Linked DNA regions of Xenopus tropicalis. The protein of the gene in region 3 interacts with the protein of the main gene of each other region in a biochemical or structural test. Links are inferred from orthologs where the notes say so. Each region holds a gene or a part of one and is shown on either strand. Other genes may lie near its edges.

The links.
Region 1: the proteins of erbin (region 3) and pkp4 form a complex in vitro, tested with the Homo sapiens proteins (4 studies listed by BioGRID and IntAct, with this or other methods). The link is inferred for Xenopus tropicalis from reciprocal best matches to the Homo sapiens genes ERBIN and PKP4.
Region 2: the proteins of erbin (region 3) and arhgef7 interact in a test that uses a peptide from one of them, tested with the Homo sapiens proteins (2 studies listed by BioGRID and IntAct). The link is inferred for Xenopus tropicalis from reciprocal best matches to the Homo sapiens genes ERBIN and ARHGEF7.
Region 4: the proteins of erbin (region 3) and plasma membrane calcium-transporting ATPase 4 interact in a test that uses a peptide from one of them, tested with the Homo sapiens proteins (2 studies listed by BioGRID and IntAct). The link is inferred for Xenopus tropicalis from reciprocal best matches to the Homo sapiens genes ERBIN and ATP2B4.
Region 5: the proteins of erbin (region 3) and scn4a interact in a test that uses a peptide from one of them, tested with the Homo sapiens proteins (2 studies listed by BioGRID and IntAct). The link is inferred for Xenopus tropicalis from reciprocal best matches to the Homo sapiens genes ERBIN and SCN4A.
Region 6: the proteins of erbin (region 3) and abcc4 interact in a test that uses a peptide from one of them, tested with the Homo sapiens proteins (2 studies listed by BioGRID and IntAct). The link is inferred for Xenopus tropicalis from reciprocal best matches to the Homo sapiens genes ERBIN and ABCC4.
Region 7: the proteins of erbin (region 3) and erbb2 form a complex in vitro, tested with the Homo sapiens proteins (4 studies listed by BioGRID and IntAct, with this or other methods). The link is inferred for Xenopus tropicalis from reciprocal best matches to the Homo sapiens genes ERBIN and ERBB2.

What each region holds. Positions count from the first base shown.
Region 1 is NC_030685.2:73,687,534-73,691,810, forward strand, and holds the start of pkp4 (plakophilin-4), read right to left. Parts: upstream 2,847-4,277; 5' UTR 2,666-2,846; intron 1-2,665. UniProt on the Homo sapiens protein: Plays a role as a regulator of Rho activity during cytokinesis. May play a role in junctional plaques.
Region 2 is NC_030678.2:116,901,012-116,904,016, reverse strand, and holds part of arhgef7 (rho guanine nucleotide exchange factor 7), read left to right. Parts: intron 1-932; coding exon 933-1,032; intron 1,033-1,397; coding exon 1,398-1,452; intron 1,453-2,781; coding exon 2,782-2,904; 3' UTR 2,905-3,005. UniProt on the Homo sapiens protein: Acts as a RAC1 guanine nucleotide exchange factor (GEF) and can induce membrane ruffling. Functions in cell migration, attachment and cell spreading. Promotes targeting of RAC1 to focal adhesions. May function as a positive regulator of apoptosis.
Region 3 is NC_030677.2:187,603,626-187,607,853, forward strand, and holds the start of erbin (erbin), read right to left. Parts: upstream 2,914-4,228; 5' UTR 2,264-2,913; intron 1-2,263. UniProt on the Homo sapiens protein: Acts as an adapter for the receptor ERBB2, in epithelia. By binding the unphosphorylated 'Tyr-1248' of receptor ERBB2, it may contribute to stabilize this unphosphorylated state.
Region 4 is NC_030678.2:70,336,137-70,340,349, forward strand, and holds the start of plasma membrane calcium-transporting ATPase 4, read right to left. Parts: upstream 2,949-4,213; 5' UTR 2,602-2,948; intron 1-2,601. UniProt on the Homo sapiens protein: Calcium/calmodulin-regulated and magnesium-dependent enzyme that catalyzes the hydrolysis of ATP coupled with the transport of calcium out of the cell. By regulating sperm cell calcium homeostasis, may play a role in sperm motility.
Region 5 is NC_030686.2:15,628,056-15,631,812, forward strand, and holds part of scn4a (sodium channel protein type 4 subunit alpha), read right to left. Parts: intron 2,617-3,757; coding exon 2,260-2,616; intron 1-2,259. UniProt on the Homo sapiens protein: Pore-forming subunit of Nav1.4, a voltage-gated sodium (Nav) channel that directly mediates the depolarizing phase of action potentials in excitable membranes.
Region 6 is NC_030678.2:122,375,962-122,380,185, reverse strand, and holds the start of abcc4 (multidrug resistance-associated protein 4), read right to left. Parts: upstream 3,021-4,224; 5' UTR 2,788-3,020; coding exon 2,714-2,787; intron 1-2,713. UniProt on the Homo sapiens protein: ATP-dependent transporter of the ATP-binding cassette (ABC) family that actively extrudes physiological compounds and xenobiotics from cells.
Region 7 is NC_030686.2:9,878,432-9,882,864, forward strand, and holds the start of erbb2 (receptor tyrosine-protein kinase erbB-2), read right to left. Parts: upstream 3,033-4,433; 5' UTR 2,877-3,032; coding exon 2,804-2,876; intron 1-2,803. UniProt on the Homo sapiens protein: Protein tyrosine kinase that is part of several cell surface receptor complexes, but that apparently needs a coreceptor for ligand binding. Essential component of a neuregulin-receptor complex, although neuregulins do not interact with it alone.

The DNA.
Region 1 (4,277 bases), on a different chromosome or scaffold from region 3:
ATAATTGGGTTATGTAATAAAAAGACACTACGTTTGCCCAGGTCTAGTAACCTAATGCAACAAGTCAGCAGAAAGAATTTACAGGATACCTGTTTACAGACATCTTATTGGTTGCTATGGATTACTGCACCACGGCAACCTTAGTGCCTTTTATTACATATGGAGCAAAGTGTCAAAGTATAATAAATGCCTCTTTGCAGATTTATATTAACAAAGAAACATGCATTTTTATTAAATTTAAAAAAATGGCAGAATTTTAGTTTCATCTTAAGCTCTATTTATTTTGCTTGGATATATATATTATCCCTTTAAATTGTAATCTGCCAAGTGACCCATGTTAGAATACAAGGCCAATAATCTGTCTACACAGTTAAAGGAAATGCAAATCTTTAAAAAGGGGGAAAAATGACTAACTGCTTGGATAACGTTACACCAAAAGGTTAACTTCCCCTTTATTTTCAAAAACATTACCATGAGACATATTCTGTTGTACAACTCAAGGCGCAGAGTTTGCCAACACTGGCTATTTTAAAGTAACATATGGCAATAATAGGTATAAAAACGATACAATGTGGTAGGATGCACTCCCAGGTGCCTGAACATGAGAATAACCGAGCAAGCTGAATGTGCATGAGTGCTGCCCAGGCCAGCACTGAATTTGTTGCCAAGCCGTCTCTGTGTACAAGAATGAATCAGCCGCTGATGTGATACTTGAGGAGAGGCAGTGGGAAACTGCACCCTCTGAGCTAGTTAACCCTTTACCTGCGAGAAGAGAAGGTCACCTTCAGCAGATGGATGGATAGTGGAAAAAGCTGAACAACAATGTGCATGAAGGCTGCTAGGAGGAAACCCTGCCTTTTTGCATACAATATCAGTGTGACCTGCTCCCCCACTTTGGGGCCAGATTGCTTTCCTGTGATAGCAATGATATGGTAAATAGAGCTGCAATAAACAGGGGTTAAAGGCAGTGCACACTGACCACAGTTGCAGCAGCTGGATTTCCCTATGCATTCCTGGCATTCCTAATCCAACGTACCCACCTGCCTAGTCATCTGCTGGGAACAGCACCAGGTCTATCCCTCTCGGCACTGCAAGGATGGCTACGCCGACACTCGAAGCTCTGTATGCAGAACCAGCAGCATGAGCATCCCTGCAGTTGCCCGTGTAAGTCAAACCGCATTTAGTACGGCACTTAGATCCCCCACATAATATTATACAGCAACAGCTAAAATACAATTATTTCTATAGTGATCCAAAGAGACCCATATCCTACAGAGACACAGAACCTTTCATTACTCTGAAAGAGTCTGCATAAATCCCCTCTTAATGTAGTACAAGCTCTATGGTACAGTCTTCATTTAAAGCCAGAAGTATAATAATCAAATAAAGGATGGGAAACCGACAGCCCTCCAATACACAGGGAATGCTGGAAGTGTTAGATCAACAAGTGAGGTCCCAAACATTGGGGCTCCTTGGCTGACCAAGATGGAAACAATATATCAGAATATTAGAAACCAACCCACAAATCCACCAAAGGTCAAAAGTAAAGTTGCAATGTGTGCCGAGTCTGCTCATGTCTAACCTCAGGGCTTGTTCACACTTGCGATTCTGCCATTGTTATTCTGTTGCAGTTTTATTACAGACTATTAGGTTGCTCACTGGCCAAATGCTTTAAGTCTCTTGCCCAAGGGCAAGTGAAGTGCTATAAAATATCACAAATTGTCACTATAGAGAAGGAACCCCTCGGCGTGTACTGCCTGTTGCACTAACTCTATTATGTGTCTCATAAAGAGAGAAGGCAAGTACACAAGGCACAAACCCACATACAGTACAGTTACAGCAAAATACAATGCCAAGCAATAGACACACTGTTGTTCCTCATGTACGCGGATGACTTGTCACTTTAAGAACCACATGAGCTTGCAATCATAGGCAACAGGAAGGATAGCAACATGACTGGTATCAGTTACTACATTCCCTCCAGCCCATACAATACAGACAGTATTAGTTGCAGAGGCAAAAGCAGGAAGCATTAAGTTGCATGTTCAGTAAGTAATTCAAAGGCTTTCAAAAGATTGCAAGCTCACTTGGCACCAACATATGACTCGGCATACAAGGCTAGGGCATGGGAGGGAAGTCTAGATGCCCATGTGGTGCATATAAGAGCATGACTGCCATCAGATAATGCCAGGGAGCTGGGTGTCCATGAACAAAAGAGAGTGCTAGGGAACTGCATCCTTTTCATTACAGTAATAGGGTGTAAGGTAGTGGGGGTGCAGGGTGCCCATTCCACAGGGGCAGTTTGGCATTGGCTGAAAATAAAATAGAAATGTAGAGATAGGAGGATGCTGGGTGCCAATGCAAAAGGCTGGATGGGAAAATCAAGCAATATGGGATGTTGGAAGTGTAGACTAGAACATATCAGGGATCATCCACCTATTAATGAACTACAACTCCCAGAATGCCCTGACAGCGCCCGGAAGAGCCACAGGTGGGAGATGCCGGAGTGCATGGCCAGGTGGGAAGTTGATGCAGAGCGGCTCTTTACTCCATTAGCAGGAATGCGTCTAAACTTGCCCCCACCCAACACCAAGCAGCTTGGGGTCCCGACTCCGGGACGTATCATGCGAGCACCGCCAGTGGTCCCGTAGCAAAACGCACTTACCTGCCGGCTCAAGCCTCCCCGAGGGTCCGTCCGCCTCATGAGGGACTGCACGGTCCCGTTCCCAAGGCGCAGTATAACTCCCAGACGTGCTGTCCCCTACCCGGTCTCCATGGCGCGGTGCCCGAACCCTGCCGCCCTCTCCCCAGCACACCGAGCCAGCGCCGGGCTCCGGGGCTTTCCGCGTCACAGCGCAATCTCGCTTCGATTGGCCGACCGAGGCCCCGCCCATCTTACCTATTGACCTGCCCCTGGGTTCCAAATTCACCAATCGCTCGCTGGCCTGCCGTTGCCTTGGTTACCGATGCTGTTGACTGAAAGGGGCGTGGAAGGTTTTGGTCAGTCACGATACTCTGCTCGGGATGTACCATTAATGCGGGAAAGGAGGGCTGGAATTATTATCGGCACAGAACGATCTGAAGGTGAGATGCTGGCAACATTGTGCTTTTACATTGTCACTTAATCCACATCCCCAACTCCCTCCGTCCTAGTAATAGTCTCCATTTATTAAACCGGCAGCTCTCTATTTCTTATGGAACTACAACTTCCAGCATCCTTTGCCCGGGGTGGCCCTTTCAGTTTCACTGGGTAAAATTCGGATTCTCAGCTAATTTTTGTTAGTATAAGAGAAAAAAATGTGTTTTTTATACAGTTTACTTTTATTTGTATAGATATTTCCCCTAATGAAATGGTTAAAAACATTTTGAGAATTTTCAGTCATTATCATCCTATGAAGACTTATTCTGACATAACAAAAATGTGAAAATTGAATTGTTTTGAATGCTGGAAACTCAGGACAGCTCTGATAAAGGGTTTTTATGGTTTCCGCCACCAAATAAGTTTTACTGCTTTAGGGCTCTGGTACACGGGGAGATTAGTCGCCCGCGACAAATCTCCCTTGTTGCGGGTGACTAATCTCCCTTGTTGCGGGTGACTAATCTCCCTTGTTGCGGGTGACTAATCTCCCTTGTTGCGGGTGACTAATCTCCCTTGTTGCGGGTGACTAATCTCCCTTGTTGCGGGTGACTAATCTCCCTTGTTGCGGGTGACTAATCTCCCTTGTTGCGGGTGACTAATCTCCCCGATATGACATCCCACCGGTGAAAAAGTAAATTGCCGGTGGGATGGCATACGCGGCGGTGCGATCTCCGAAGTTGCCTCTCGAGGCAACTTCAGCGATTTCCGCAAATCGCGCCGTCACCCATAATAGCGAAGAACTATCGTGAGCGACTAAACCGCTCTGTGGGTTCTTACCCTTAGGCTACTGCAGGAGATGCCTTTCCACCGACAACAAAAGGAGTCGCTGGTGTAAAGGCCGATGCATCGCTTCAGCTTTCCGAAGTCGCGCAGAGTTGCCTGAAGGAGGAAACTTCACGCAACTTCGTAATACCAAAGACACGCAAAGAGCTTTCGGAGTGTTTAGGCGCCCGCTATAGCAGAGATCTATCATAGGCGACTAAACCAAACTCATATTTTCATAAATAGGAAAAATATTCACATACAATTTGTATTTAAATTTGCACGGGAAAATAGCAGGAAATTTTCTAAGAGGAGACCATCCTGGGCCCCCCATGGGAGGTGCCCACAGGTGTAAAGGTGGCCATACACAGGCAGA
Region 2 (3,005 bases), on a different chromosome or scaffold from region 3:
ATGTTACACGGAGTACAGAGTGTGCAAGTCAAATTTTCTAGGCAAAAGTCCAGTGCCCATGGCTGGTGTTTACAGCACCATTTTATTTAGAATGTAATCATATAAAATTATTTCTATAATGTGATTATAGTCATTAGTACAGATGTGGGTGCAGAAAACATTGTCCTTTAAATGTTTTGGTATCCACTTTAAACCCTGACCATAATGTAAACAACTTGGACTAAAAGGAAACCTATTTAGTAGTAAAAGCAAAATTTGTTCTGTGTTTTTGTTTGATGTTTTATGTATACATCTGTGTAACATTATAACTTTTGACCTGATTTTTGACGCCATTTGTAATAATGCTTTGTTCAAATGTATTCTTTATTTTAAGATCTGGTTTAACAAATGTGCTATTTGTAATAATGCATTTTTTTAATTTATTTCTTTTTTATATAAATGCCTATGTTAGGTAAGTTCTGAATATGTAATACTTCATTGATGTTGTAATGAGCTGTGTAATTTGTGGTTCTTATCTTTGTGGCATGGAAAAACTTTTTCAGGTATGTTAAAACCAGTTAGTTCTGTATTCAAGCTGTACTAAAGGTTAAAATCCATTTAGCTTAGACCAATTTTAAGTTGACTACAAATATTTTAAAAACCCACCAAGTACTGTGTATGTATACAATATTATTTTGAAGCTCAGGAACTTTAATTGCCAAATACTAATAAAAATATGCAGATTGATAATGCAGACAGTAGGTGAGAGAGCTCTGCACTCTACAGGTGGCAGTCACTGTGAGAATTAGGGAACGAAACCAAAGGGATCAGACTCAATAAAGATTGACTGCAGAATGCTCAGGAGGTTAAGACTTAACAATGTGGTTAATAGTACAGAAAAAGTGCCAGCTTCTGTTTTATATTCATCTGTTTTACCTTTTGTTCCCTATTAGGCTGCCGCAAAGGATCAACTCCTCAAGTATTGCTCCCTGAAGAGGAGAAAATTATAGTAGAAGAAACCAGGAGCAATGGACAGACAGTTATAGAAGAAAAGTGAGTAATGAATTTAATATAGTCTTATATTGGTATTGTCTTATGTGGTAGAATGTCATCCATACTACCTGACATTTTATTGTAACTTATTCTACAGTACAGATCACAGATTGTGAAATACAAGGTTCACCATTTCATTGAATGACTTACATCTTAGAAAAGTCACATGGTTTTTAGTGACGAGGGCTTGATATAGTGCCAGCAAATTCACACTGTCCTTGTCCTGGCCAGCAATATTTTTTTGTTTTTTCTGTTGTAATATGAAATGTAATATGAAATATAATATGAAATGTACTTTTTCAGTAAGATCCCACAGTTTTTAAGAATCTTATTTTTTTGACCAATTTTTCCCTCTAACATTTTAGGAGTCTTGTTGATACAGTTTATGCATTAAAAGATGAAGTTCAGGAACTAAAACAGGTTTGTGTTTTAGTTTTCAATTTGTTGTTGTTTTTGTTCAGCCTATAATTTCATGTTTTATCAGTTTCAAAATTTTCCCATGAATTATTTAGCAAGTAAAATATTTACTGAATAACCGTGCATAACAATATCCCTTAGTAAGTAAGCAAGTGAAGGCCACTGAGCTTGTCCACCTTTGTGGCCCTGTTGCTGTGATTAAAGTCACAGATTTATGTTCAGATTTTACAAATGATGATGTAGAAAACCTAATTAAATTATACTGCACTAGTGTTGCCCGCGAAGGTTTATTAACTAGGCAATTTGGGATTACACAATTTATCTTCTGCACTGAAATGATTTGTTCCAGTGTGGAAAATACATATTCAAATCCTTTTTCCTAGCATGTTCTTTCTGGCTACAGAATTGAGTGCCTGCCATTTACTGGCTGAAGGAGTAGGAGGCAGTTGTATTATTGCCTTTCATTAAAATAAATGCACTTGTAATCATCATTTATACAAATTTAATGTAAGCTTGGTTGTTACTAGGGATGCCCCAAATCCAGGATTCGGTTTGGGATTTGGCCAAGATTTTTCCTTTTTCAGCAGGATTCAGCAGCTAGAGATGCCCTAAATAAAGAGATCCCCAACATTTTTTATTCAAAAGTGTTGGTGAGCCACACAAGCATGAAAAAGTTCCTTAAGGGTGCCAAATAAGGGCTGTAATTGGCTATTTGGTAGCCCCATGTGGACTGATGGACTGCAGAGCTTCTGCTTGGAGTAATACTGTGTCTCTTTGCTTCCAAAACTTGCCTCCAAGCCAAAGAATTAAAAATGGGCACCTACTTTGAGGCCACTGGGAGCACCATCAAAGGGGGTGTTGAGCAACATGTTGCTATACTGTAACTTAATCCTTTTTAATGTGTAGCGAAACCAAATCAAACATTCAACCCCTAGACAACCAAAGACCCCAGTTTTCTTTCACAGAATGAAAGTTTTCATTTTGCTGAAGCTTGAATGCACAGATTGGGGTTAGCATTCAGTTTGGTCTTTAGCTGAATTTAATGCTAGGATGCTTTCATTGAAATTACCTTACTTGGTTTACTTGCCCTTAAGGTTTTAACTAAAGAGAAGAAGCTTACCTGCAGGTTCAATTTTAGAGCCTACAGTACAGTTTTTTAGATTAAAACCATAAAATGCATTTTATTTCAGATTGAATCTGTTGACTTGTATCCTCTTAACAGACTAAAAATAAATGCAGAATATTGTTAAAAAAGTATAAATAAGTGTATATAATCTGTACCTTCAAAAGCATTGTCATATTTCTGATTGTGTTTGTTTCTTTCATCATTAGGATAGTAAAAAGATGAAGAAATCTCTGGAAGAAGAACAAAGAGCTCGCAAGGAGCTTGAAAAACTTATAAGAAAAGTCCTAAAGAACATGAACGATCCTTCTTGGGATGAAACCAATTTGTAATTATTCGTGTCTTCCTCTTTTCTGCCCAGGGATCAAGAGTGGAGCTCTCTGACATTTGGAGAGCCTTGTTGCATTGGGGGCACTGCAGAATGAGATTTTAC
Region 3 (4,228 bases):
AGATCTGACCTAGAAAAATAAAATAAATAAATTATAAAAGTATTGGCATATTTTTCCCTTGCAGTCAAATTGAAAAAGTTGTATTGTGCTGCTGTCAGTGGAGCACTCGGCTGGCCGATTAGGAGAGCCAGTTTAGATCTGCATGCCTTCCAATGAACAAAGAGCTCCACTGTGTGTAAGAACAAGGCAGAAAAAAAATGAAATCCCATAGCAATCTGCCCTGCCCCCCACCTCATACACCCACACACACCCCTTCTGAAGATAAAGTTAATGGAAACTTTTTCAAACACGCAAGAAATATGTAAAGTTTAAAACTATTTAAAATGTTTGTCAAGGCCCTGATCTGGGCAGTGGGGTTAATGTAACGAAGGCCATTGAAGTAACACAGGAAAGAAAAGAGCAGGCCTCCAACTAACACTCAATTTTTATAGCTGTAAAACCACACCAAACGTTGCCTTGTATTCTCGCAAAGCTTCGCTTTACGTAACTGTGTCATTTAATATTTCCTACAAATAGAACGGTAAGGAAAACAGAGCATGACATGGACACTCTGCATTATTTATTTAAAATATGTATTCTTTTTAGTGTAATCATTTTAAAGAAGCAGCTGCAGGTCATTTCAACTACAGGTATGGGACCGGTTATCCAGAATGCTCGGGACCTTGGACTTTTCAGATAAGGGGTCTTTCTGTAATTTGGATTGCCATATGTTAATTTTGCTAAAAAAATCATTTAAACATTAAACTGAATAGGGTACTGGTTTATTATTGCAGAGAAAAAGGAAATCATTTTCAAAAACTAGAATTATTTGATTAAAATGGAGTCTATGGGAGATGGCCTTCCCGTAATTTAAAGCTTTTGGGTAACAGGTTTCCAGGATCCCATACCTGGATCAAATCCCATGTGCCAGGTCAGTCACAGACAGGTAGATGGCACAAATATTAATACATTAATAAAGCTGTAAAGTTAATAATAAAATATCTGTTATTTGATTTACCATCAGGCTCAAACATTGTATTCTACTTCTCTTAGTCTTGTCATTTTCTGCATTGGTAGAAAGTCAACTTAAGCAAAAGAGCTTGAGCTCCATTAGAAATTCTTGTAAAGATGCAAAGCAAGTTCTGGTCATTGTTGCATTTACAGAACTGCTAGGCAACGACTCCAATCAGTGTGGACCCCCCCCCCACACTACATGCAGACAGGGCCTGCTGAGCAGAACCACCAGAGTAAAACTGAGTTTATAGCAGACATGTGTGTAACCTGGGAACTCACTGTTGAAGACAGAAGCTGCAATTTTATAACAGCTGAATGGGAAACATATCATTTACATGCATGTCCAACCTGGGGCCCTCCAACTATTATGCATACCATGACAGTCAAACACTACTGTAGTACGAGGATGGAGGGGCTCAAACATTATATCCCTGATCTAAAATAGCCAAGACTTCGAAACTGTGGGCCTGAACAAGGCAGTAACTGGGGGGGGGTGATTTAGCAGGTAGACTACAGAGGGGAAATATGCTTTTTTATATACTCCTAGAATTCCCGGAATGACGGTTAACAGGGTAAGATTTTTGTGGCAAACACTCAAGGAGCTATGCCATCTGTAACAGAGTTACAAGCGGAGGAGGGCCCCAACCAAATGTTCAACATGAATGGGGGTTCTGAAGTCTGAAAACCGTAAGGCCTAAGGGATTTCTACCTTGCCAATCAGCTGACAACATATTCTTCAACCGTCTTGACCTGGCAAGGAATACTGTAAGTTCAAATAACAGCTGGAAGGCCAGACATCAGACATTTGCATTCTAGATTGTAAGCTCTCGGATTTCAGTTTCTCTTTGTATGCTTCATGTCCGTGTAGAACTTGAATAGCATCTGTAATATACTAATAATCACCCTGGAAAACAGCACTTATTTATAAACAGCCCCAACAGCAACAATAGAAGCATCTGGTTGCAGCACAGAGAGGGAGAGCAGTCTGCCCGACAACTCAGACAGCTGCAACATGCTGCTGGACCATTTTGTGCAGCAGAGAACTTCTTATATCAACTGTGGTGATGTTTAGAGATCAGACAACATCTCGGTCCATTTAAAACCAGCAGCATCCTTCTGCCCCAGACTAAAGCATGTTTCTGCCCAGAACCAACCACCTGCTAACTTGCCCTGAGTTTTACTGCTGAAGCCCCCCAGTCCTTGGCCAAAACACAAAGCAGCCTCATCCAACTCTCCCCCCCTGTCTCCCCTGTAAAAGCCATAGCATTACCTTATTAGAGTTTGCTAGATATTTCAGTGTAATGTTCCACTTCCTCCTGCATTGAGTTTATTGTAAATCCAACAAGCTTTTCTCTTCTCAGAATCCAGAAAGGTGTAATAATCCCACAAACGTATAGAATTTTCCGCAGAGAGAGAGAGAGATGGCCAGAGAACAACAAACCCGAAGGCCGGGAGAGAGGATCACAAAGGGGCTGTAGAAGTTCCAAACCGAATGAGCTCAAGTTCGTTTCCCTCCAATGCTTTCACCGTTCCTTAATCCTGGGAGGGGGCTGGAAACATCCCAATTAGAGAGAAGCAAAGGACAATTCTTTACCAGGGACGGGATTCCAGGTCCACGTTTCGGGGAGTAGAGAGAGAGTGGGGGTCAGGGGAATAAACAGGCAAGGGGAGGGGGGTGTAGGAAGAGAGAGAGCCGTGTAGGGACAGGGGTCCCGCTGCATTCACTGCTCCTCCTAGTGACACCCGTACGAGTCATGAAGGGTGAGCCGGAGTGTAGGGTATATTGTGCCACTATGGGAGCCGCACCCTCAGCGCACTCACACACACAGCCCGGCCAAGCAGCACTCTCTCCTCCCCAGTACTGCTCGCAGCCGCACACACTCTCCCCTCCCCCTCTGTCTCCAGTCTCTCCTCCCCCCTCTCATAAGGGCAGTCTCTTTGCTACTCTCACTTCCTGAGGCGTCTCGTTTCTCCTCTATGTGGCCCCTGCTTAGGCTCTCTCTTCATTTTACCCCCATCATGTAACATATTTCTAATGAAAAGGTGCAGTAAAGCTGCTGCCCCCCCAGATGTGTTTCAATCACAACCCCTTAACCCGCACTAGGAACCTTTGTGGGTATTTTAGTTCTGCAACAGTTGAAGGGGGGAAACGAAATCCTATTTTTAAAATGCTTATTCCATCTTTTATTTGATTGTCAGCTTGTAGGACAAGATGTAATGAGACTCAGGGACAAGTGTTACTGTACAGGACCCTAGGTGTATGTAGATTGGATCCATTACTTAGTGTTTAATCCTTAGGGTTAATTTGTGATGCTATTAGCCCATTCAAATAGGGTGCTGACCCAGTGCCCCAAGCTATCAGTGACTGGTCCACAGAGGCATTTACATGAGTGTGTGTGCCAGTCACTGTTATCCTAAGTAACAGATTTGTTAGGGGCTCATCACCTTGAAAGTGTCATGGAGTATCCAAGGCTATTGGCTACAGGTGCCCAGATTTAAGTGACCACCACAATTTGTTTAACCTTTTTACTTGTGTTCTGTACCCAAGGGTCATGGCAATATAAGTATTATACAGTCAGTGCCTCTACATACATAGCCTTTAGGCAGTCATATACAACCGGACCTTGTACAGTATGTGACCAATCAGCTTGCAGGTGCAATACAAGGTTATTATTATTACTATTATTAATATTAACACATATTTATACATCACCAACATATTTTGCAGGACTGTACAATAAATGGGTGTATGCACTGAACATACAGATTACATACAAATAATTAACTGGTAACCGATACAAGAGGTAAAAAGGGTCTGCCCAAAAGAGCTTACAGTCAGTTTCATACATTGTCGAGGCTGAACAACGGGAACAGCAGAAAGTGAAGACACTTCCATACAATGGAAAACGTGGTGCATCAGCAGATTAGGTTTTTAAAGGAGAATGAAAGTTACAATAACTGGGGGATGCCAAATGTTAGCTTCCATACATGTACCAAAAATCAAAGATTTTATTGTCATTTGTCAGGCCACCCTAAGCCTTAGCCACTAGGAAGGAATGCACTAAATCAGGAGAGCTACTCAAGTAGTGGTAAACTGATCAGTGTCCATACACTTACTATGGCATGTCAGAGTCGACATAAGAACCAAACGTGTCCAAATACAGTGGATAAGAAATACTGTAGAATAAAAGGGGTAAATAACCCCTTAATTTGTTTTATTGTGTCCATTATGGAC
Region 4 (4,213 bases), on a different chromosome or scaffold from region 3:
ATAGTAGGAGAAAAATATTTTTAGCACAAGCCCTATTCATTGAGCTCATGTTCAAGAGGGATGTGTACTTTCCCTTTAAAGACCAGGCCCAAAACTGCATTGCATACTCTAGGTGAGGCCTTATTGTGGATCTGTAAAGAGGAAAATTATATTTTCATACGTTCTCAATATTAGTCAAATTAGACCAGCTCCTGTGCAGTGTTTGTTCCTATCAATGCCTAAATCACATGGGGCATAGTGGGCTGAATCTGTGTTCTCTTTTGCAGCTATGGTTGCCGCCCAGATGATATCTGCATAATTTAGCAAACTGGATTTTCAAATAAATGATCTATCTATTTTGAGACATTCATTCAAAAGCATTCTGGGTTTTCCTGCCCACTAACTGCCTGTAATTAATGACCTCGCCCACCTACTACTTTAAAGCCTATTACTGAATCTGTGATTTAATTAAAGATCAGTAAGAATCTTAGATCCATTCTGCCTCTATACTACAAAACATGCCACTACTTCTAGCAGTATAAAAAACATAATCCTACAGTGCAATAACCATTTTTGCACATTTATGCTGCTTTTCTGTGGTTACCTAGGCATGACACCTGAACTGCAGGAGGCATTGTGGCAGCTAAATAAACATAATTTCAAAATATCATATAAACAGTTTAATTTAATACATATAAAATGATCTGCAAATTTAACAATTTATTATTAAATTAATAAAGTGAACCCAACTTATAGAACAGGGGGCTCAAACTCAATTTACCTGGGGGCCGCAGGAGGCAAAGTCAGGATGAGGCTGGGCCGCATAAGGGATTTCACAAAAAATTGACTTTCAAGGGATAATGCAAGGCACGGCGGGCGGGAGCTGCTGATTGCGGAAATGACGTTATGCCATCATAACAGTTATTATGGGAAGACGTTCTGTGTGCACAATTAGCTCCTTAGCAGCTAATTGTGCACACAGAACGTCTTCCCATAATAACTGTTATGATGGCATAACGTCATTTCCGCAATCAGCAGCTCCCGCCCGCCGTGCCTTGCATTATCCCTTGAATCGCAATACAAATCGCGATCCATTCATTGCTTTTGAGAAGGCGTTGGTGCGGGCCACAAAATATTGTACCGAGGGCCGCAAATGGCCCGCGGGCCGCGAGTTTGAGACCCCTGTTATAGAAAGACCAGTTCTCCCATCATTTGGTTCCAAGGAAATCAGAAACAAATGAATAACAGGTAGAACTGCATTGCTATTTGATGAAAAAAAATGCAAGATGTGATCCAAAACTATTCTTATTTTAATTGCACAGAAAACAGTTATTCCAGGCTTTCACTAAAGGAGGTGAATACTGAGCAACAGTTTCTGTGCATTTGCCAAGATGCAGAAAAGTTGCAGACTTCTAAGTTAACATCACAGTTAACAGATTGCATGAGCATACAATATAAATAGTACATCCTCTACATTATAACTGGGTGTATTCTGTGATTGTTTTGTTTTGTGAATATCCATTGCGATACAACACTGGGTCTAAACAGCATTTGTCACCATGCAACCAAGCAACAACTAAAATGAATACAGAAAATTAAGATCTCAAATATGTAGCCATAAAGGTAAAAAAAAACTATAGAGACAAACCTACAATAACACAAATGGATACTACCTGATTTTTTAATTTCTGTATTTGTTGCTGCTATATACATTACCATCAACACAAGGTATCTGAAATGTAAGCTCTAAGCATGACTGCAAAACCATAAAAGGTTAAAGTAAACAGTTTAATACCACTTAAACCCTCCAAAAAAAACATCAGAAAAAGGCAGGACATTTATAATAATTAGTACATTTTCAATCTATTAAAAGACCAATTAACAGTTAAATGTAGCATTGTGCACTGTCAGCAAACAGTATATTTAAGAATAAAGTTAAATATCACATTTCATGCAAGCACAAAGTCACATTGTACAAAATAGCTGTTTTTTCTTCCATACCCTCACAAAACAAACACCTATACACTGAACCTTTAATATTCAACCATCCCAAATCTTTCATCCATTCATTCACTTAATCTTTTCTGTCGCACTTAGCACACTACAATCAGAGAGATATCCAAAATAGAGGCACATTTCCCTCGTAAATTACCCTTGCAAAACAAATGATTATCTTAATACCTTTGCCAATTATTACAGGCGGCACTGCAAAACTACACATATGGTGGTGCGTAAAACAACACTAGCAAACGCTACAGCAACGGGAGCTCCCAGCATAGTGAGTTACACTCAGCAGACGAATACGAAAGCATCTACATTTTATAGGGAGGGTGTATGCCCTAGGAAAAACTCAGCATCCAGACATGTTGATTCCGTGTCTTGTATCTGGCGGAGTAAAACGCACACACGTACTATACATTAACATGGCAGACAGTTAACTCCTTTTTGGAGCTACTCTCGTCTAAATGCATATTCTCCCCCATGTCTACGTACATTCACGTATAATACACGGTAACGCGTATGGGCAACAGGCAAGTATAAATAGGAGACCCGAGTATACTGCGTGTTCCTATGTGCGCGCGTCCGTGAAGTCACATATATGCACACCCTGTTATTACTCACCGTAACAGCCCCGGAGCGGTGTGGGCGCACCCTATGAAGCGGTTTTGATACCAGGGTGCCTGTTGCGTGGCTGAGTGCCAACAGCTCGTTTGGGCTTTTTGAGAGGCACAGAACCGGCTACTCACCCAACGGGTAACAACAGCTACGGCTTCACCTCAAACTAATCCAGACACAACCCAACCCGTGGGCGGAGTAAGGGAGGGATAACTGGCGGTTTAGGGACAGCTTCGGTTTAAGGAAGCATTTTTCCTTTACTGATGAGTCCGCCCTATTCTTGATTTAAGGTGGAACTACACAGTCAGCCAGGGTTACATGCTGGCTTTGCTTAACTGAGGAACTGTGTTTGTGACGATAGCACGTTAGTTGTCGGTGTAATCGTAAGAGTTGTGTACTAGTCACCATGTTTTGTAATTAGTACTCTGTTTATTTTTGCATATTGGCCGTTTTTTCGCGTGACGTGAACACTTGTATACTATGAAATTTAGCCGCTAAGGGCGTGAATAGAAGTGTGTCCAAAGGGCGGGGAATAGTCACGTGACGTGTACATCATGTTGGAACTTGGAGTAGAAAATGCAACATGAATTGTTCAGCTATTCAGGCCGGTGAAAGCGGGCACATTTTTAAATGCGTTAGATACATACTGGTGTTTATGCAGCAGCTATTTGCAGTCAAAAATAGAATATGCTCAGCCTGTGTCTGGAAATGTATGTTCAAACGCAGCAGCTCAGGCTGCTAACAATTAGCAGTCAGGGGGTCAGTGATTGGATTAACATTTGGTGCAACAGGTTCATTGGGATCCAACCATTTTGCAGGGGTGGTTGCATACACAGTATGCAAAAAAAACCTTAGGAATACTAGATATTTTTCATCCCTGTCTTGGACAATTACACATTGCAAACAGATTTAAAAAAAAAAAAAAATCAATTGGCAAAAATCATATTTTACTTTCATTATTGCCAATAGATTAGCCACATTAGGGCCACCTAGAACGCTATATTTATTCTGCAGAAAGCTTTACCATACCTGAGTAAACAGCCCTAGAAGCTCCCTCTAAGAAAAAAATTAGAAAACTTCGAATTTTAGTAAATCTGCCTCCACATGTATCCTTAATATATAAATTCAATAATCTCACCATAAACACCAAAATATTATACCTATATAGGCAGTTTATGGTCAGAAAACTTACCGCTGAAATGATAGTCTTGCCCGATGGATTAATCAGTCCTTCTGGAGGTGGTAAAATGTGGGAACCCTCAGATGGTCGATTATAAAAAAAAAAAAAACTTCAATTCACTTTGTCTTAATACTCTTGTGTGTAATACCAATATCCAGTAGCGCATTTAGTTTCCTCAAATATTTCTTTTGGGGTCAGCTCTGAACTACTTGTACGTTTCTTTATCATGCAACAAATCATTAGGCTCTAGATCATTGTTGGTACTGGGCATGATAATAATTTGCACTTATAATTGTTTTAGGATTATTCCTCAATGCCTTTAAGGCTCTCTCTCACCACCTCCCCCCCCCCTCCTTGTTAAAAGGAAATGTATTTTGGCATTTACTGCCAATAGATTAGCCACATTAGTGCCACCTAGAACGCTATATTTATTCGGCA
Region 5 (3,757 bases), on a different chromosome or scaffold from region 3:
CAACAGCACATCTGAAAACAATAACCAGCTCTTAGTGGTACCGCTCAGAGCATGTAAATAGAACCTTTACACTGACATCTTGTCTCCCATTTGTTTAATACTGCAGTTAGGTACCCAGACACTCGCTTTTGGATTTCTATTTTCTGACAGGATTACTAAGCTACTTGAGTTGCTTCCTCTTAATGTCCTGTTTTAGCCTTAAAGGAATTCTGGAGGAAATAGCATTGGGCCTATATTTGTACGTGACAAACAGCATGTGCTTTGGAGCTGTGTTATTGGCATGGAACACGTTTGAAAACAACAACAAATAAGCCCCATTCTTCCTGTAGTTCTGGTTTATAAAAACGGGGGCAGAAGAGGCACAGTGTGTGATTAAAGCTTGAACATTTGGTCCAATTATCTTTGGCAATACTTTATAAATAGCAGCCTCTTAAGACTTTATATTGCATGAAATTACTGTGAGTTTGTAGAGATCAGATTCATACAAGCTACAGCTTTTTTGGCTTGGCTGTTCCATGTCTCTAGTCAGTGTTTCCATGTAGGCCATGCTTCCAATAATGGCAACTCAACGTCTTGCTAGGCCATACCCTAAAGAGCCACATTCAAACTGAAAAAGTGTTGGGGAGCAACACAAGCATAAGAAAGTTTCCTGGGGGTGCCAATAAGAGCTATAATTGGCTACTTAATAGCCCCTATGTGGACTGGCAGCCTACAGAAGGCTCTGTTTGGCATTATACTTGGCTTTTATGCAACCATAACTTGCCTCCAAGCCAGAAATTCAAGAATGAGCATCTGCTTTGAGGCCTCTGGGAGCAACATCCAAGGGGTTGGGGAGCAACAAGATTGACTGGAGAGTTTTGGAAAGGGAAAAAGTGGATAATGGGAGAGTGGAAGGCATGATGTATCTCTATGCAATATATGTATGCAGCATTAAAAAGCCTTTTTTTAAAGTAAAGAGCAGGTGTGCAATATGAAGATCATTATATAGTCTAAGAAGAATTATCGAAGAGTGAAACAAAATGGTAGATCCTCCAGCAAAGTATGATAAGCCAGATATTGGACTAACAAGTGAATGCCTGAGCTGTACTGATCTCTGGGGCATCTACCCAATGATCAGATCATGGTTTGTGTTGGAAATTTGGCTATCAGTGTGTAGGTAAACTTGGCCAACCTTTGTTTTGGTTGTCAGATGTAGAGAAATAAACACTGCTTCTAATTGGAAATTTATGTTGGAAATTTGGCTACCAGTGTGGAGGTAAATTTGGCCAACCCTCTTTTTGGTTGTCGGATGTAAAGAAATAAACACTGCTTCTAATTTCGCCACATACTTCTGTAACACAAAGACCCTTTGCCATACTTACAAAATAAACTTTTGAGATACATGTGTCCGCTTGCACTTGACATAATCTGTGGGCTGTTAACATTCAGCTGACTAATGCTTGCCAAAAGCACGCCAACTGTCCTTGAGCATGATAATGTCATTATTGTCACAGAAGTTGCTAACTGGGAATGTCAAAAGTGCTTAATTTAGTAGGCTATGAGCACAATCATTTCCTTTAATGAAATATAGGAGAAAGCAATATTTAGTGACTGCCACAACTGTTGCACCTTGTAGAATCCCTACCTTAACTACACATGCTCAGCATACAGGGTGCGAGTTTGTGTGCAACTGGATTCATTATCTACTAGGGTGAATACTTATTTGCTTTTATATTAATTATTTAGAGACAGGTAGCTCAATGACTAATGCATTCCATCCTAAAAGTGTCAAAGCTGGCCATTCACGTTCAGATTTTAGTCTTTTTCCAACAAACGTTCGGATATCGGTCGTATGCTTAAATGCAAAGATCTAAAACTACCTTTCAGACTGAAATTGTAGGATAAAAATAACAAATCGAAAGGATGTTCTCAATATGAAATAGTTGGCACCAATCGTACGAAATTGACTTCCATTGTAGGTCCCCCAAGGATATCATCAGATACACAACATATGCGCAGATTTTCTAACCTTGTCGATCGACTAAACGACTGATCGCCATAGTGCAAAAATAATAATTCTGAGCCCACACACAGTCTGAAAATTGAACAAAACTAAATTTTGCATGATTTTATCGGTACGTGTATGGCCAGCTTTAGTCATTCTAAATGACCATGGTCAACACATTAGAGACCTCTACAGTCAGACAGGCCTGGGGCCAGATATTGTCCCATTTCTGGTTTGAGTAAGGGGTGATGTGGAGATTTGAAAATCCAACTTACCACCAGGTTACCAATCACCATGACCATCATGAACACGACCAGGCACATTGCTTGCCCTGCCACTTCCATGCAGTCCCACATTGTCTCTATCCACTCCCCGCACAGGATACGGAAGACAATGAGAAAAGAGTGGAAGAAATCGTGCATGTGCCACCGTGGTAGCTCGCAGTCAGAGGCAATCTTGCACACACATTCCTTGTAGCTCTTCCCAAATAGCTGCATCCCCACCACCGCAAAGATGAAGACAATGATGGCCAACACCAAGGTGAGGTTTCCAAGTGCTCCGACCGAGTTACCGATGATTTTGATAAGCATGTTAAGGGTTGGCCATGATTTGGCTAGCTTGAACACCCTGAGCTTGAAACATTAAAATACTTGATATTAGTCAGAGAGAATAGAAAGAACAGTAACTAGTACAGGTATCGGACCCCTTATCCGGAAACCCGTTATCCAGAAAGCTCCGAATTACGGAAAGCCCGTCTCCCATAGACTCCATTTTAATCACATAATTCAGAATTTTAAAACTGACTTTCTTTTTCTCTGTAATAATAAAACAGTACCTTGTAATTGATCCCAACTAAGATATAAATAATCCTTATTGGATGCAAAACAATCCTATTGGGGTTGATTAATGTTTTATTGATTTTTTAGCAGACTTAAGGTATGGAGATCCAAATTACGGAAAGACCCCTTATCCGGAATACCCTTGGTCCCGAGCATTCTGGATAATGGGTCCTATACCTGTAGTAGTGTTTTGTGAATAATCTTCCATGCAGTTACAACTGACCCACAGAATTCCAATGGGACAGCAATGCTATAGTCTAATATATATATATATATATATATATATATATATATTTTAAGCTTATATACATTCCCCATGGTGGGACCCAAAGCAGTTGATGGGATAGGCCCAACCTGAAGTCTACATTAGGGGAGATTTTAGCTGATGCTTATGATGAAGACAATGATGGCCAACACCAGGGTGAGGTTTTCATTTGCTCTGACCAAGTTACCGATGATTTTGATGAGCATGTTAAGGGTTGGCCATGATTTGGCTAGGTTGAACACCCTGGGCTTGAAACATTAAATACTTCATATTAGTCAGAGAGAATAGAAAGAACAGTCTATTACTAAACTAGTAGTACTATTTGTTGAATAAGCTCCCATGAAGTTATTTCTTATATCAGCCAGAGCTGGTGGTCCAGCTGGATTAAGCTAACATTTTGTGTATAAGAAGAAGACTGCATTGTCCCAGTCATGATATATGTGAATAGAAACAGATCATTGGATGAGAAGATAGAGGAGAACTCCTAGGGTATTCTATAATGGGAACACAGAACTATGGAAATTCAATGTTGTAGAAGGTTTTAGAGATGGGTAACAACACTTACTGATTACCGGCTTCATATACCACTTGGGTATTTCTGTGTATGCTTCCTTAGCAAACCATATATAAACCCCTTGTAAAAACAAATGCTGAAATTGCATAACCAAG
Region 6 (4,224 bases), on a different chromosome or scaffold from region 3:
ATCTAATTTATTCTTTCAGGACTTAACAGTGATATAAACAAGCTAATGCTCGGGTCTTAGAGTACTGGATCTTGGCCAAACTATTGCTAATCTCAGAGATTTGTTAGATTCTTCTCTAAACGTTATGTACTAAAGCATTAAAGAAAGCCATTTTCTTTTCACTACTGCATCAACCAAAATCAAGGGCTTCATAGCACATGTAATATGAATCCAAGGACAGGACAATTATATAGATATGTTAAGTTATGTATTTCCATATGGAGACAGAAATGGAGAAGAGAAAAGATGATCAATAAAGGGCAAGTGAACTTTTAATTTACAACTGTACTATTATGCTAATATTAATAACAGTATTGAAAATTATATTACTGTTTTCTTCTGAGCACAGCTGTAGTCAAAACACTCCACATGTACAGTTTATTTGCATTATATATTTATACCATTTTACAGTGTATATACACTGTAAGTGCACACACAACTATGAAATATTGAATAAATTATCTACTGAAAAGCTTTTAAATCCTGAAGTGAAATCCAAGGGCAGATACGGGAAAAATCGTAAGAGAAATTAGAGTCTCGTGCCAACCTTTGTTCTGTTACTGTATGTCAATGCATCACACGGCTGCTTGCCAACTTTACTCAAAACTTTGCACCTTCTTAGGATCACTGAAAAATCTAACCAAGGCATGTATTACCTCTGACTAATAATTTTGTATATAACTTATATTATTTTGGGAAGTCAAATTAAATAGCAGAAATTGGTGCAAAGATTGCAAACTGTAACTGAAATATACACAGAATTATATTACAATGGTACTAAACAGACTCTTAGTTACAGTTACCTTTTGTGTGGTTTGCATAAGTGTTAAAAAAAAAAAAACAATCAACCGGTAATAATGACCTCTAATGTAGTAAATATTCTGTTAAAGGGATTCTGTCATGATTTTAGGTATACTTTTTATTTCTAAATTACACTGTTTACATTACAAAAAATTCACTCTACCATTTAAAATTTTATTCTTGAACCAACAAATGTATTTTTTTTGTAGATGTAATATTGGTGTGTAGGCGCCATCTCATGAGGCTGATTGTGAGCTTTCAGAACGAGCCAGCGCTACACATTAAAACTTCTTTCAGGTAACCCATTGTTTCTCATGTTCAGTGTAACTGGAGGAGTCCCAAGCCGGACTTTGATTTTTTACTATTGAGTGCTATTCTACCACTTTTAGCAATACAGGTATCAGGGAGCTGCTATCTTGCTCCCTTCCCATTGTTCTGTTGATCGGCTGCTGGGGGAGAAAGGGAGGGGGGTGATGTAACTCCAACTTGCAGCGCAGCAATAAAGAGTGACTAAAGTATATCAGAGCACAGGTCACATGGCTGTGGTACCCTGAGAAAAGAAGGATATGGCTAGCCGCTAGACCCATGTGATATTTCAAAATAAAATTCTGCTGGAAAGGCTCTATTATCTGATTAACCTAGCAAGTGGCCCACACTGAGTTTCAGGGATGCTGAGGTTCCTTACAGGCAGTTTGTGCATACTTATTAAACACCCTGTAGCCAGAGGAGCTTCTTGTTATTTGTTGCTGTTTACAACAGCAGAAACGACGCAGGGGGGGGGGCTATATATGTACCACAAAGGTACCACAACTTCCTGGAAAGGAAGAACACTATGACCACAAAAGTCACCAGAGGGAAAGGGTCCCTGACTATTCTTTGGGAGTTAATGCAAGCAAGTTGAATGGCGCAGTATTCTGAAGTGAATAAATAATTTTATTTTCTGCACCTTCATATATATATATATCTTTATCAGACCCCTGCCAGGCACTTATTTCTTTGACATACTTTTCCTGCAGTTCCGGAGGTTCCCATAACACATGGTCCATAATGATTTGTAAATGTCTATGTTTTAATTCACACTAAAGCCCACAACATGTATATGACACTGGCAATAGTTCGTAGACCTATAGAACTTGGACTATGTATACAAATGAGTAAGAGGACAGTGTTATTACTGGTGGTACTTGGGGCAATGCAGGGCTGCCCAAACATCACAGAGCAAGCCCTCCAGATGAACAGCATTAGGGGACCTGCCAAGGGACATGTAGAGCTGTGGTTGTCATACACGGTATTCCAGGGGGGATCAAGAGCACACAATCAATTACCCCCCCACACCCCAGACTTCCCTAACTCATAATGAATACTGGGCCAATGAGGCCAATTTTAAAAAACATCTTGCCTTAATATACAGTTACATTTGAAACAAATGAATAAATCTGCAGTGTTCTTGGAGCTATAGCCCAAACTGCACAACTATTCATGTTGAATAGCGCTGCTCTGTGCCCCTCAAGTCTCAGTGCCCATTACTAGAGACCCTGCATTACATTCCTATTAAGGTACATGACATTGGCTCTACTACTATTCTATGTATCCGGGTGAAAGATGGTGGGGTGGGGGGGGAGCAGCAGACGCACATCAGTAAGTACCACATGGCACGGAGCCAAAGGCAGACATAAAGGCAATTAAAAGGTGAGAGAATGTGCAAAGGTTACTGAAGTAGTTCACGAAGGGCACGAAACAAAGTGCACCGAGCATGCAGGTCCTGACTGCTTATCTAATATTATATATAGTTCAAGTAACTAGCCACATGACAGACAGAGCGACATAAAGATCCCTGTGTGTGTGGCATTAGCAACAGGAAAGCAGCGCTTACCAGAAGAAGATCTTGGAGCAAAAGTTGGCATGCTGCGAGGGGTTCGCTTTACTTCCCTTTGGCACCGGCTGCATTCTCTTTGCTTCAGAGTATTCAGCTACACATGGGGGGAGCCGGGCACACAACCGAAACCACACACTCGATGACAGCCCCCCGCACGGTATGTCCCACCGCACACTTCCACTGCCCCAGCACTCAGCAACAGCAGCAGCGCACGGCTTTACCGCGTAGCTCCGCCTATCATCGTATGCTGGACATCTGATTGGCTGCTGGCTCTTTATTACCCCACATGCAGTCGAGCTGCTTCGCGTCAGAGGCGATTAAGTCGGAGGCGGGGCGGCCTTTGTTTAGATTAAGGTTGGTAGTCATGTGGGCCTGGGCGCAAGTTTGCACAGTTGCTGATTGTAGAAGGTGACTCTCCAGCTTACAACTGGGAGCAACAGAAAAATGGGTAGGTTGTATTCATACGTGGTTAGGCAGCACTTTTGTAATGAATGAGTGGAAATCAGAGTAACCTGTGTGCCATTAAAAGGGTGCCAGGCATTTCGGACTAGAAGACATTTGTGTGGGCTTCTAAACTCTATTGGGCAGTGGCAGGCTGGGAGATTAGTCGCACCGCAACATTGTTTCTGCGGGCATATAATGCCGTACCACCGGCAAGAATGTGAATTGCCAGTAGGGTGGCACACGTGTTGCTACAATTTCCCCAAGTTTCCTCTCAAGGAAACATTCTTGCCAGTGGAATGGCATTGGGGGGAGATTAGTCGCCTGTGGTAAGGAAGATTCATAGTGGTGCAACTAATCTCCCTGTGTGTCACTGCCCTAAAGGTGGCCATACATGGGCCGATTTCATCTGCTGATTTAAGTCCTTCATACCATTTTGGCAGCTTATCTGCCTGTAAATGGGCACTCCCAACAGGCCTCCCTAACAGATATCTGGTCTAGAATTGGGCAGATCTCGATTGAGTGGGTTTGATTTTCCTGTCGAATCGGGGATCACATCGGCTTCTTGATGCGCTCCAAAGGCACCTATGCCCGCCATTGGAATTTGATCATTTGTCTGATCGAATTAGCCTAATACTACCCTCCCTTTAGTATACTAATAAATATATGTTGGTATAGAGAGCTGCAAAGATTACTGTAAAGGGGCACCTCCCCAAATGCTGTTTATATATAAATACAGGCCTGGCTTGAATCTCTCGTGGGACATCTGACCAGAGTAAACGGAACCATTATAAGCAGGGCCGGAACTAGGGGTAGTCAGAAGAGGCAGCTGCCTAGGGCGCAACGATTGAGGGGTGCCAGGCAGCCTCTCCTGCCTACCCCTAGTTCTACTTTGTCATTGCCTCCACCGCTAATGCTTAGCGGTGGAGGCAATGACTGATCATCGCACTGCCCCCTGCACCTCCTCCTGTGCTTTGGCGCGCATGCGCCATTGGGGGGGCGGGGAGGTGGGCGGAGTTGGCTGACCGGGTTGCCTAGGGCACCCGGTCGGCTTGGCCCGCACCTGA
Region 7 (4,433 bases), on a different chromosome or scaffold from region 3:
ATGAAGCAGGCATTGGTATTCTGAGACAATTTGCAGTTGGTCTTCTTTTTTGTGTGTTTTATGAATATTTTTCATATTTTGTAACTATTGGACAAAGGCCCGCCCCAGTAGTGATGTGTGGGCCGGCCTGAAACACCCCTGGTGGGTTGGGGCTGACACTTGCACACTATTGGCGGGTCGACGGTGAGTTTGGACTCAGCTTTCCCTTTTGCCCTCCCTGCCCACAATCTTCTGCACCTGGAAGCCTCTATTTATGCCCACGGCCCTTGGCCCATCCACAAAATGTCGACCCACACATCACTACCCCCCAGTATGGCCCCCTGCCAGAAGATGTGCTGTGCGCTTGCTCTCACCTTCAGGTCTTGGTGGGTACGGGTGGTGACTCCGGCAGGGGGGTGAATTTAGGGGGCCCTACTGGGGGGGCAGGCCCAGATGCAATCACAACTGCTGCTCCCTCAGCAGTTACGCTGGCAGCTGGTAGGTTTGGAGTTTTAACAGCTATGTAGTTGCTAGGGCTTAAATACCCTAGTAACCAGGCAAATGTTAGGAAGCAAAGGTCCCTATACACGTTAAGATTCACCAAGCGAGTGGATCTTCCCCCGATATCCGATAAGCTGTCGAATCGGTCCAAGGGACCCATATCGGCAGCTACAATCGGCCTGTGTATGGGGACGTTTAGACTGGAAGATAATTAGTAGAGTGCCTGAAATCAGATATAAGCAATAAAAAACAACCATAAAAGGAAAACCTTACAATCTGTTTTTTGGTTGCCAGGGTCCGTTACCCCAAAGCAACCATGTAGCATTTTTAGACCAATGTGCAGTAGTGTGCATGCATATACAAAGCGGGGACCAGCTTATACAACATATTGAGGTGTAGAAAAACTTAAGGGGTAATTTATGTATCTCCTGGGCAGAAGTGCAAGAGCACTAAGGGGGGCAAAAGTGTGACCCTTTCTGTGCACCCACACACACAAATAGGGAGTTAGAGGGAATGCTGAGCCCTGACCCAGCTCCTGCTGATCCAATACACCAGAACCCCCTTCCCTTCTCCTAATATACAGGTACCAGCAACCCTTACTTTCTAATAAACCAACATCAGCACCGGTACCTTCAGGCATCAGCACGTGAGCTCTTACTATAGTGTCAGAACACACACCTCTGGGCTCGTAACATACACAATTGCCCTGAGCATCTCCCAACATGTTCATCACAATCCTCGACCTTCAGTAAAAAAATGTCTTCTGGTGCCCAAAAGCATTTGGTGGGTCCAAAAAATTAGTAAACTGTGCTTTTAGATTCTTTGCACTATATTGTGTGTGTTCTGGCTTCCAAATTTGTGTGCACAGCTTAGAGGGGACACTCTTTGGGGGGGCAATAGGTATTCTACCTCAATGGCTTTCAGGCTGGGCCCCTTCCAACACTTGCTCTGAGCCCACAGTTTGGTTGGGGGGGGGGGACACAGTAGTTGGCAGCCGCCATCAAGGTGAATTACTGTGCTTGGGAATGGCACATGGGGTGATTGCAAATGTATTGCTGCCCCTGAGATTTCCAGCAATTGCCCTTCCGTTGCCCGGAATAATAACTGCCCTTGGACCCCACTCGCAGGTCAGACAGTTATCACTTGGAATTGCTCAGTTGGCATTTCTGAGCAATAATTGTCTGATTTTGGGGCAGGTTTCAGAAGACCATCCAGGTCAATGGAGAGGCAATTATGTGTGTTTTGGGGGGAGAGCTTGCAATCACCCCTTGTGCCATTGCCCAGAGATGCAACTGAATGGTACCCTGTATACTATACCCCTTACCAAGCTATCTAGCAGGTTCTTTACCCAGAGTTGCTTTTGGTTATAGCAGGGGTCCCCAAACTTTCTTACTCGGGAGCCACAGTCACATGTAAAAAGACTTGGGGGGCAACACAAGCACCATAAAAGTTTATGGAGGTGCCAAATAAGGGCTGTGATTGGCTATTAGGGGCCTCTATGCACCCTATCAGCTTACAGGGGCTTTATTTGGTAGTAAATCTTGTTTTTATTCAACCAACTTTGGAATTCAAAAATAACTCCCTGGTTTGGGGGCACTGAGAGCAACACCCAAGGGGTTGGGGAGCAACATGTTGCCCCGAGAGATCACTGGGTTATAGTGATATATAATATAGGTTTATTATAGTACAGAAAGCATCACAGGTAGGAAAACACTGTACTTTGCAGAAACAAAAGTCACTGTTTTACCCTACAGAGCAGAGCAAACAGGGGGCACAATGTGCCCACCCATCCGGTAAAGGTACCCATACACGGGCCGATATGGGTCCCTTGGACCGATTTGGCAGCTTATTGGCCCGTGTAGGGGTAGAAACGATGGCCATGCCTGACCGATATCTAGCCAAGCCAAGCGAGCGGATCTTAAAGTGTATGGCCACCTTAACACCAATCTTCTAGAGATAACCCCAATGAAATCCTTCTATGCAGTTGGTCAAGGGCAATTAGCATCTCTGTCGCACTAATCATTTTTCACACTGGGCCATTAAGGCTATAGAGCACCTTTATTTAATTCTAGTCTCATTAATATTGCTGAGGTTCCAATGGCTGCGTATACAGGAATGCTTTACCTGCGTCCCCTACTGTTGCACCCGAATACTTGCGTCAGTTGTAGCGCAACCAAAGCTGGAGTGACTCAGATTGGACTGAAATCGCAGCCGATGAACTCCCTACTATATAAAGGTCACCCCCGATTCCCTCCAAACTCTTCCCCGGACGCGCTGTAAGTACATGGGCAGAACCTTACGCTGCGACCCGCACCCTCCTTACCTTCCTCGGCGGCGCGTCCCCTCAGTAGGAGCAGCAGGGCGCAGAGCCCCCAGAGCCATGGCCGTAACCCCATAGTGTCAGTGCCCCCGCAGTGCCATGCCAGCCCCCCTGCTGCCAGCCGGCCCCCCTGCCTGATTCTCTGCTCCGGGAAAGAAGTTCTCAGTTGCCTGTGTAGCTGCCCCGCTTCATTCCTACACAGGCACTTCCTGCAGGGAGGGGGCACAGGGGAGGGAGAGGCGGAGGGCTGGACACAGACACTTATAGGAGTGGCACTCACTTCTACTCCCTGCTCTCTCTGCTTAACTCACCCCTGTGGGGCTCAAACGTCTCTAGATGGTAAGCTCTTGGGCTCACAGCTGCTAAATCTACCCTCCCCCCCACTTCCCTAGAATATAGTCATACCCCCTAGGCTGTAGGCTCCTAGCATTCCTGGCAAGTAGTGACTGGCAGCTCTGGATAAGCAATAGATGCCCACCTACACAATTCCTTATTCACACTCACCTACATACCTTGGTCTTTTTTTTTATTGAAACCCATGTATGTATTAGGGTGAAGACACACTGAGCTACTAGTAGCAGCTACTTTTTCACAGCTACTAAACCCCAGAAAATCCCCTGCCATAGACAATACTGAGAATTGCCTCTGCTAAACACACATAGAGACAACTATCAGTAAATGATCAGCATTGTCTATTTTAGTAGCCACGACAAGTAGCTGCTACTAGTATCTCTGTGTGTCTTCACCCTTATAAATAACCTAGTGCAAAAAAGTGCATGGTGCACAAGTGCAAATGTGCAATGAAAAGGAAGAGCCCAAAACCTGACCAACCGGCCAGAATTTTCAGGTTCTTGCCTTTTGTCCAAGGACTAGAGAGAACCCCTTTATCTCTGACCCCCCAAGCTAGAAGGCCGGCAGGGGCGAGGGTCTTCAGGTTCCCTTCACAGCAGGGCTAGGGTTACCCCTTTATCCTCACCCTCCATCCAGAAAGCCTATAAGGCAGTGCTGGGCCCATTCATACCTGCTTGTCAGCGCCACCCCCTCTAGCCTAGGGCAGCAAACATGGTGGAGAATAGATCCCCAGGAGCTACAAATTAGGGGTCCCCTTTCCATTGCACCCTAGGCACATGCCTGTTCTGCCTACCCCTAGTTGAGGCCCTGCTATAAGAGCTCCATTGACCCCCAAGAGAATCTTCAGTCTTGTATGTTTATGGTGGGGCCAGGTTTTAAGGGAAAGGAGCCGAATGGCCACACATTATCCCCCTCAAGCCAGCGTGCAGATCCATAAGTGTATATTGCGCTAGATTGTAAAAAATGGATAGATCCAGATCGTAGGTTGCACTAGATCATAGAAGAAAAAACACAAAAATAAAAGCTCAGTAACAAAACAAATGTCTCAATATTGGCCGGATTTTAAAAAATTTCCTTGCCATTGGCCAAAAGGCTGGGGCATAAAAGTGAAAGCAAGTAAAGTGCACTATGTGCAGGGGAAATGTTGCTCACCCTGAGGTGGGCTTTTCCATGCTGCCCCCTTGCTTCCCGTGCTTTGGTGCAGGTGGGGGGGTTGCATTACTAGTGCAGTGGTCACAATAGCACTGTCTGTATTAGAAGAGCTGAAATTCCAACTGAAAAA